2 linked regions of the Canis lupus familiaris genome follow. The protein of the gene in region 2 interacts with the protein of the main gene of each other region in a pairwise test. Links are inferred from orthologs where the notes say so. Each region holds a gene or a part of one and is shown on either strand. Other genes may lie near its edges.

What was found.
Region 1: the proteins of AQR (region 2) and ZNF830 interact in a two-hybrid assay, tested with the Homo sapiens proteins (2 studies listed by BioGRID and IntAct, with this or other methods). The link is inferred for Canis lupus familiaris from reciprocal best matches to the Homo sapiens genes AQR and ZNF830.

The regions. Positions count from the first base shown.
Region 1 is NC_049230.1:38,350,107-38,353,506, forward strand, and holds ZNF830 (zinc finger protein 830), read right to left. Parts: upstream 2,221-3,400; 5' UTR 2,174-2,220; coding exon 1,052-2,173; 3' UTR 524-1,051; downstream 1-523. Other genes in the region: CCT6B (T-complex protein 1 subunit zeta-2), read left to right, coding at 2,336-2,472.
Region 2 is NC_049251.1:2,945,526-2,949,590, forward strand, and holds the start of AQR (RNA helicase aquarius), read right to left. Parts: upstream 2,817-4,065; 5' UTR 2,686-2,816; coding exon 2,611-2,685; intron 1,798-2,610; exon of another isoform or gene 1,447-1,797; intron 1-1,446.

The sequences.
Region 1 (3,400 bases), on a different chromosome or scaffold from region 2:
GAGAAAAAACTTATCCTCCCTACAATGGACAGCAACTCTGAACCCTTATTTAACTATGAAATGTAATAAATTTAAGACTGGATGAAACCTAAAAGGTGGTATTTCTTTTATACAGTAGATGATAAACTTATGGAAAGCGGTATTTAAAAAAACAAAGCGTGAAAACATATAGATGGGTTCTGGATTTAGGGCGACCTAAACATGACCCTTCTACTTTGGCATATACTAGAACAACCTGGGATGCTTTCAGAACTAATACAGATACCTGGGCCCCACTCCACAGAGTTACTGAATATTTAATGGTAGGTTCTGGGCACACGAATTTTTTAAAAGCTCCAAGGTACTTCATAGGCACCTTTTCAATAGCTTGGCAGGTGATCTTCATGTGCACCTACATCACATCCAAGAATCATTGGTTTAATCAAGAGAAACAATTGGGTTAAGGAGGTTTGGTCATATATTTTCCCATGTTCTCGTAGTGCATGTTTTTGAAACAGAAACAATACTCAGAGAACTGATTTGCCCTGAATGACTTATAGTGTTTATAAATAGTATTCTTAAAAGCAAAAAACAAACCCTCTTCCCCACCTTTCTACAAAACCCTCCTGCTGCAGGAAGTTGAGTTGATTTAGGGGATCAGAAAAGAAAAAACACATATATCCCAAATGCCACACTTGGTTTTTATCTAAAAGCTTGTCTGTTAGCCTGGCTTCTATTTATTTATAAATTTCAAAACAGAATTACTTAAGTAAATATATATTTAACGAGGTACAATATTTACAGCTTACAGATTTGACAACGCAAAATTATTCACTTAACGTGTGAAAAAAGTTGACATTTTAGTATACAATAGCTCAAAAATTGCAAAAACAACCTCACCTCAAAAATATTTTACACCAATTTTCAAAAGTGCTATCTTCACAGGCTCATTGTATGTCAACAACCCAGTTAGGTCACCAAATCTCCACGCACGAAGGAACCAGTAATCATACCCAGAAACAGCACTTTTCGTACCATTGTAGAGGGTGTAAAAATCTTGGGTCTTGAAACCCTATAACAAAGCCCCTTTTACCCTCCAGTCCTGTGACAGCAGATCTTGTAGTTCTCCCTCATCATCGCTGTCAATATTCTCCTCTTCCTTTTTCTGCAGTTCCTTTATAGTCAGAACCTCCTTAAGCTTATTTTTTATTTCATCCTGGCGATTCCGAAGCTTTTCCACCCGACGGTAACATTCTATCTGCTCATCGATCTCCCCAATTTGCCGGTCCAACCGTCCCTCCTCATCCTCTTCAGCAACTATGGCTTCGGAAATGGTATTGACTTGTCTCATGGCCTTCTGAAATTCGTCCCACTCTTTGTCCATTTGATCCTTTGGGGCGTCAACCTTTCGTACCCTTGCATCTATCTCAGGGTCGTCAAAAAAGCCTTCTGGTAATGCTTCCGCTGTGTTTTCTCTCCTTTCCACTACTTTTTCGTGTATTTCTGCTTTTTCAATTGACCCTGAATGGGGAATTAAGGGGGCCTTGGGGGGATTTGTATCCGAGAAACCGCTTGGCAGCATACTACTTGTTGCCTCCCTCGGGGAGGAAAGCGAGTGGTCCTTGCCCTGTGCGTCGGGCGGCGGCTTGCTCGAGTCCCCTCCTTTCCCTCCTCCTCCCTCTTCCTCTTCCTCCTCCTCCTCCTCCTCCTCATCCTCATAATCAGGGAGTAAACCGAGTCCCGAAGCCTTACTGAGGGTCGCTCTGGTGGATTCCTTCCCTGCTTTGTCAAAGTTGGTGGGCAAAGCGGATGTGGAGGGTTGCACCTGAGGCAGCGGGGAGGCCTTGAGTCTTTTGGCATCTTGGCCATCGGCGTCCGGCACCTTCCTCTTGGCTGACTGAGGCGCTGCGCTGGAGGACGGTCCCTGGGTGGCTTCCCTCGCGCCTTTCAGCTCGGCCACTTTCTCCCGGTGCTGCTTTCCCAGAACGTGGGTCTGCCACAGGAGCTCGCTCTTCACCGGCGTATTACACAGGGCGCAACTCAGCTGCCCCAAACGGTTGTACTTCGCAAATGGAGATTCTATCCGTTTCCGGTTGGTGCTGAGACGCTGCTTCTCCTTCATCAACCGCCGCAGTTCGTCCTGATTCACAACTCGCTTCCCCGCGGGAGCGCGAGCGGAGGCGGAGGACGCCATCTTGGCGCCCCGACCCGAAGCGATTGCGGCTTCCGTGCGGGCGAGGCCTGGCGACGTCACTTCCGCTCCCGGCGAGGATTGGCTGAGGCTCCGGCACGGGCTTCCGCTCGGGATCCGGGCTGAGGCTGCCGCTACCTGGCGGGTGGCGCGCCGGGTGGTGCGATGGCTGCGGTCCAGGCGATCAACTCCAAGGCTGAGGTGGCGCGGGCCCAGGCGGCCTTGGCCGTCAATATCTGCGCCGCCCGAGGGCTGCAGGATGTCCTGCGCACCAACTTGGGGCCCAAGGGCACCCTGAAAATGTGAGCCTGCGGGGCGGTTGGAGCGGCGGTCAGGACCCGGGTTGGCCGGCTGCCGCGGCCCGCCCCGGGCACACGTTCCGCCGAGAGCCTGGAGCCGCAGGAAGCACCGTGGGCCCGTCGTCCTCGTTGTCACTCCTGCGCGGAGGGCGCCCGTGGCCCGGGGCGGGTCCGTTAACGTTCCCGTGCCCCTGATCTGGTCCCTTGGAAGCGCCAGCCGCGGAACTCCCCCGCGCTTTGACACTGTGTGTCTTTACTTGGGGATTTGTGGGGCCGTGTCGCAGCCCTAAGGGCACAGGCCTTGGGCCCGGCAGGTGTGGGTCCACATCCAAGCTCCCTTCCAGCTGTCCGCCCCTAGGCAAGTTGTCTGAACGCTCTGTGCCCACGCTGCTTCCGAGCCACCCTTTCAGCGTCTCTCCGTAGCATCACCATCTTCTTTAGAAGAGTGAGGAAAAGAGAACAAAAATGTTTAGGACAGGGAGAGACGTTCTAAGAGGAGTAAGCAGAATTCATATTAACGGTAAAAGAGGGCGCTTGTCTACTAACCGGATGCTGGGCACCCAGGTGATGAAGGGGTGGTATGTATGTATGTGGCATCTAGGCCAGGAATCCTGTGATAGGACTGAGGGAGAAGGAGAAGCCTCCCAACAGGGTTTTTTTTTTTTTTTTTTTTTTTTTTTTAAGGCTTTGTTTATTTATTCATGAGACACAGAGAAAGAGAGAGGCAGAGACACAGGCAGAGGGAGAAGCAGGCTCCATGCCGGGAGCCTGATGTGGGACTCGATCCTGGGTCTCCAGGATCACACCCTGGGCTGAAGGCGGCGTTAAACCGCTGAGCCACCCGGGCTGCCCTCTCAACAGATTTTTGATCAGAGCCTTGAAAGATAAGTTAGAGTTCACCAGTTGGAGAAGGGACTAAAGTCCTAGTAAC
Region 2 (4,065 bases):
TTATTCATCATTTGATTGCTTATCACCCTTCCTGTCCACCTAAGCGGAACGAGATGAACCTCCTGCCTTTGCTTCTATAGCTAACTACCTATCACGGTAAGTACACTCATAGGGCCTCCCAAGCAGTGAAGACACTGGCCCCGAGGAAGTCTCTCCAAAACAGTAACAGTTCACTTATGTCACACCTTCTCAAACTATCAATCACTCTCCAAACTATCCTATGGTTTCCTCATTTCCTCATTCCACACACTAACAAGATATCTTTTACTTACCTCATACCATTAAGAGAACTGAATCTGATCTGTTTTCATGGATTTAGGATCTTCTAATCAAATATGTAAATCCTATTTTCTGATCCAAATTGCTTATTTTAAATATCTGATCTAGCTTCTCCATGGGGTCTAACCTATGACCTCTCACACACTACTACCTCCAGGATTATACTGCCCTCCCCCACACTCTTCGGGCTCATGTAAAACAGAAACTCTCTCCATTTCCCATTTACTATAGCTAAGAGAGCATAGACCGTTCAAAATAAATTTTATTGAAAGACAAAAAGGACACCAAATACAGTAGCATTAAAAAAAAAAAAAAAAAAAAAAAACTGAATTGTCAAACTTACATGCAAGCCCAGAACCTGCTCAGGTACTCCAGACTCACATATTCTACTGCCTTCTCAATATTTTCAACTGAATGTCTACTGGGCATCTCACATGTAACAAGGCCCGAACAGAACTCTTGATACTCCCCACTAAACCCTCTCCTTTCCTTTCTCAATGTCCAAACCATTCACCTAGCTGTTCAAGATATGCCCTATTTGTCTTTTCCTCCAAACTTCCACAATCAATCAGCAAGTCCTGCTGCCTGTAGCTTCAAAATCTATCAGTCTACTCTAAGAGTAGAGGCCACCATCATCTCATACCTGGAGTCACTGGTAACCCTACTACTGCTCTCGCACTCCCACCCAGTTTCCATAGATTAGTCAGAGGATTCCTTCTAGAATATCATTCCCTGGATCGCAATTAAAATCTACTGATTGAGAATGAAATCCAAACTTATCTCTGCCTCTAAAATTGTAAGACCTCATTGTACATACTCATCTCCTACCATTCTCCCTCTTCTTTTGTCTCTAATCCTGGCCTTTGTATTCATACCATAAAGCATTTGCACTTGCTCTTCCCTGGATTGTTTCCCTACTTTCCCCAAAACTGCCTGCTTTTTTGCATTCAGGTCTTCGATCAAATGTCACGTCAGAGAGGACTTTCCTGACTGCCTTTCACACACCCCATCTCATTTTTCTGATAGCACTGATCCCTGTTTGAAACTGTTAACTTGTCGGAGTCATCTCTAAAATGTAAGCTCTTTAGGTGAAGGAAACTGATAAACAGCTTTAACCACAAAAACACCGGTATGTAAGAAAAGGGAGTTGTCAGGAAAGCTTCTTCAAAGTGATGTCATAGATGGGTGACAATGAATTAACCGTATAAAGGAAAGTGGGGGGAAATGAGGATTCTGAACAACGATGAAAGACCAAGGGGTGAAAGACCGCACGGCAGATTTATATAAATGTGTTCGGTACGGCTAAAGGAGAGTTAGAGGGAGGGAGGAAACTGGATACGAGCACAGGCCAGGTCACATAATACTTCAAAGGATCCTGGTCATTATCCCAAGACAAATTAGAACTCTTCATAAAGATGTTAAGGTAACTGATACGGTCAGAATTGCATCTGTGTGAAGTCACTGGCAGCAATATGAAGAACGGGGAGGAGAAGAGCAAGAGGAAAGACCACCAGACAGGTCAGGATGCCTAGGTCCAGGCGGTCAACACGGGTAGCACGCGTAGTATACACAGAAGCAGATACGTTTAAAAGACGTTCAGAGGCAAACACGGAGTGGTTGAGGAAGGGAAGGGAGGGCTCTAAACGGCCCTGAGGCTTCTGCCTGGGCAAATGGGAGGCAGAGGCCAGAGAGGAAAGAAGATGGGGTAACAGCTTCTGCGGGGAGCAGCCGCACTCGGCCGACACCCGCCCGCTGTGGGGGCCAAGGGCTGGGCTTCCCTGTTCCCGGCCGCCCGCGCCGCCCCGCGCAACGCCGTCACCGGGTGTGGGCCAAGGCCCTCGGGCACCACGGCTGCGGGCTTCACGGATGCGCCCGCCCGGAGCGGGGCCTTGCCAGACTCCCGTCGCCCCCCTCAGAGGCCTGGGCTGCTCCACGGCCAAGGCAAGCTCTCGTCCCCGGTCTGGCAGGCCCCGTCCCCGCTACGAAGCCTTGCCAGTCTCAGGCTGGGGTCCGTTTCTTTCTGCGAACCCGCCGCTTCCGCGACAGAGTCCGACACACAAGAGCTCGCTTAGGAGCCTTCTTTGCGTGCGTCTCTCCTCCGCGGAACCCGCGCCCTTTAGGGCAGGGCGGCCTCTTTCACGCGTCTCCGCGGCGCCCCCTGCAGCCGCCGACACGGAGCAGATGCTCCGTCAAGGCCCGTGAGCCGACGGACGGACGGACGGACGGACGCACGAACGCCTCCCGGGAGCGCCCACCCCAGGGAGAGCCTCGCCCCCAGGCCTCGGGGGTCTCGGCGGCCCTTTCACACACGCCACACTCGCCCGCGCGCACCTGGGTCACGAACTCCGCGTTGATCTGGGACACCGTCGGGGCCACGATTTTCTTGGGCTGAGCAGGGGCCGCCATGGTGGGGAGGAAAGGCCCGCCCGGGGCGGCGGTGAGCCCAATTCCGCGCAGCAGGAGCCCGCCGGCCCGGCCCGCCCTGCGCCTCGGTCTCCGCAGGCTCGGAGGGGCGCGCACAGCAGCCCGCGCGTCTCCCGGAAGCGGAGCGGAGCAGGACCGGAAGTTTGCGCGGGCGCTGGGGCTGAGCGACGGACCGCGGGGGCTGCCGCCGCCTGCGCGCGCGCCCCCTAGCGGGCAGCTCGGAGAACGCACCCGGCCGTCGGGACCGGGTCTCAAGGACGCGGCCGGCAGGTGCTGTCGGGGGCGGGGCGGGGCGGGGCGGGGCGGGGACACTTGGCGGTTCTCTCGAACCTAAAAAAAAGCAGTGTTGATAAAAACATACGCTGTGAGTATGCGGGGCTCGGCTTTAACTGTTTTTTAACAGACTCATGGAGGTATAAGTTGACATACGATGAACTGCATGCACGTATTTTGGAGTGTAAAATTTGATACGTTTTCAGTCATACATCTGTGAAACCATCACCAAAATCCGGATAAGCATAGTCAACGCCCTTAAAATTTTCCCCATGCTATTTGCAATCCATCCCTATTGCCATACTAGGGAAAAAAGGGCTACCAGGTAAAAAGCGGGTGACAGATTAGTTGAGTGAAGAGGCAATGGAGAAAGTAGGTGTAAAATGCATTTTCAACATAAAAGACAAAAAAAAAAAAAAAAAAAAAACAGTAACCCGAATAACCGGTAAAGCTCAAGTTGTTTGTCCCAACTGCTATCTCTTTTTATGCTAGGTGCAGTGGAAATGTTTTATTGCCTATCCTCTCTTCTTTCCAAACACAGCTTCAAACTTGGCCTGTATCCCTATCCCTATTTAAAACATAGAACATAAAAGGATGCATTCCTTCGCTTTCCAGAAGCATGTAGTTTTGCTTATTGTTTCTCAAAGTGCAATTTCAATACAGCACTAACAGTTAACCTGCATAAATGCAAATTCTTGGGCCCACCACCAGACATGAGAGAAACTGAGATGTGGCTTAGCTGTGTATGCTTTGAACAAACCCTTTACAGGATTCCAGTGCACGCTAAAGTTTGAAAACCACTGATCAACAGTGACAATCGAGTTATGCAGAAAAAACAGTGAGAGCACAGGGGATGGAGTGTTTGGGTAAATCAGGAAGGCTTGCAGAGTAAACAGTATTTAAGTTCAAACTTGGGGCACCTGGGTGGCTCGGTGGTTGAGCATCTGTCTGCTTTTGGCTCGGGTGTGGGGATCAAGCCCTACATCAGGCTTCTCACCGGGAGCCTGCTTCTCCCTCTGCCTCTCTCTCTGCCTCATGCGTAAATAGATAAAATCGTTAAAAAAAAAAAAAAAAGTTCAAACTAATTTG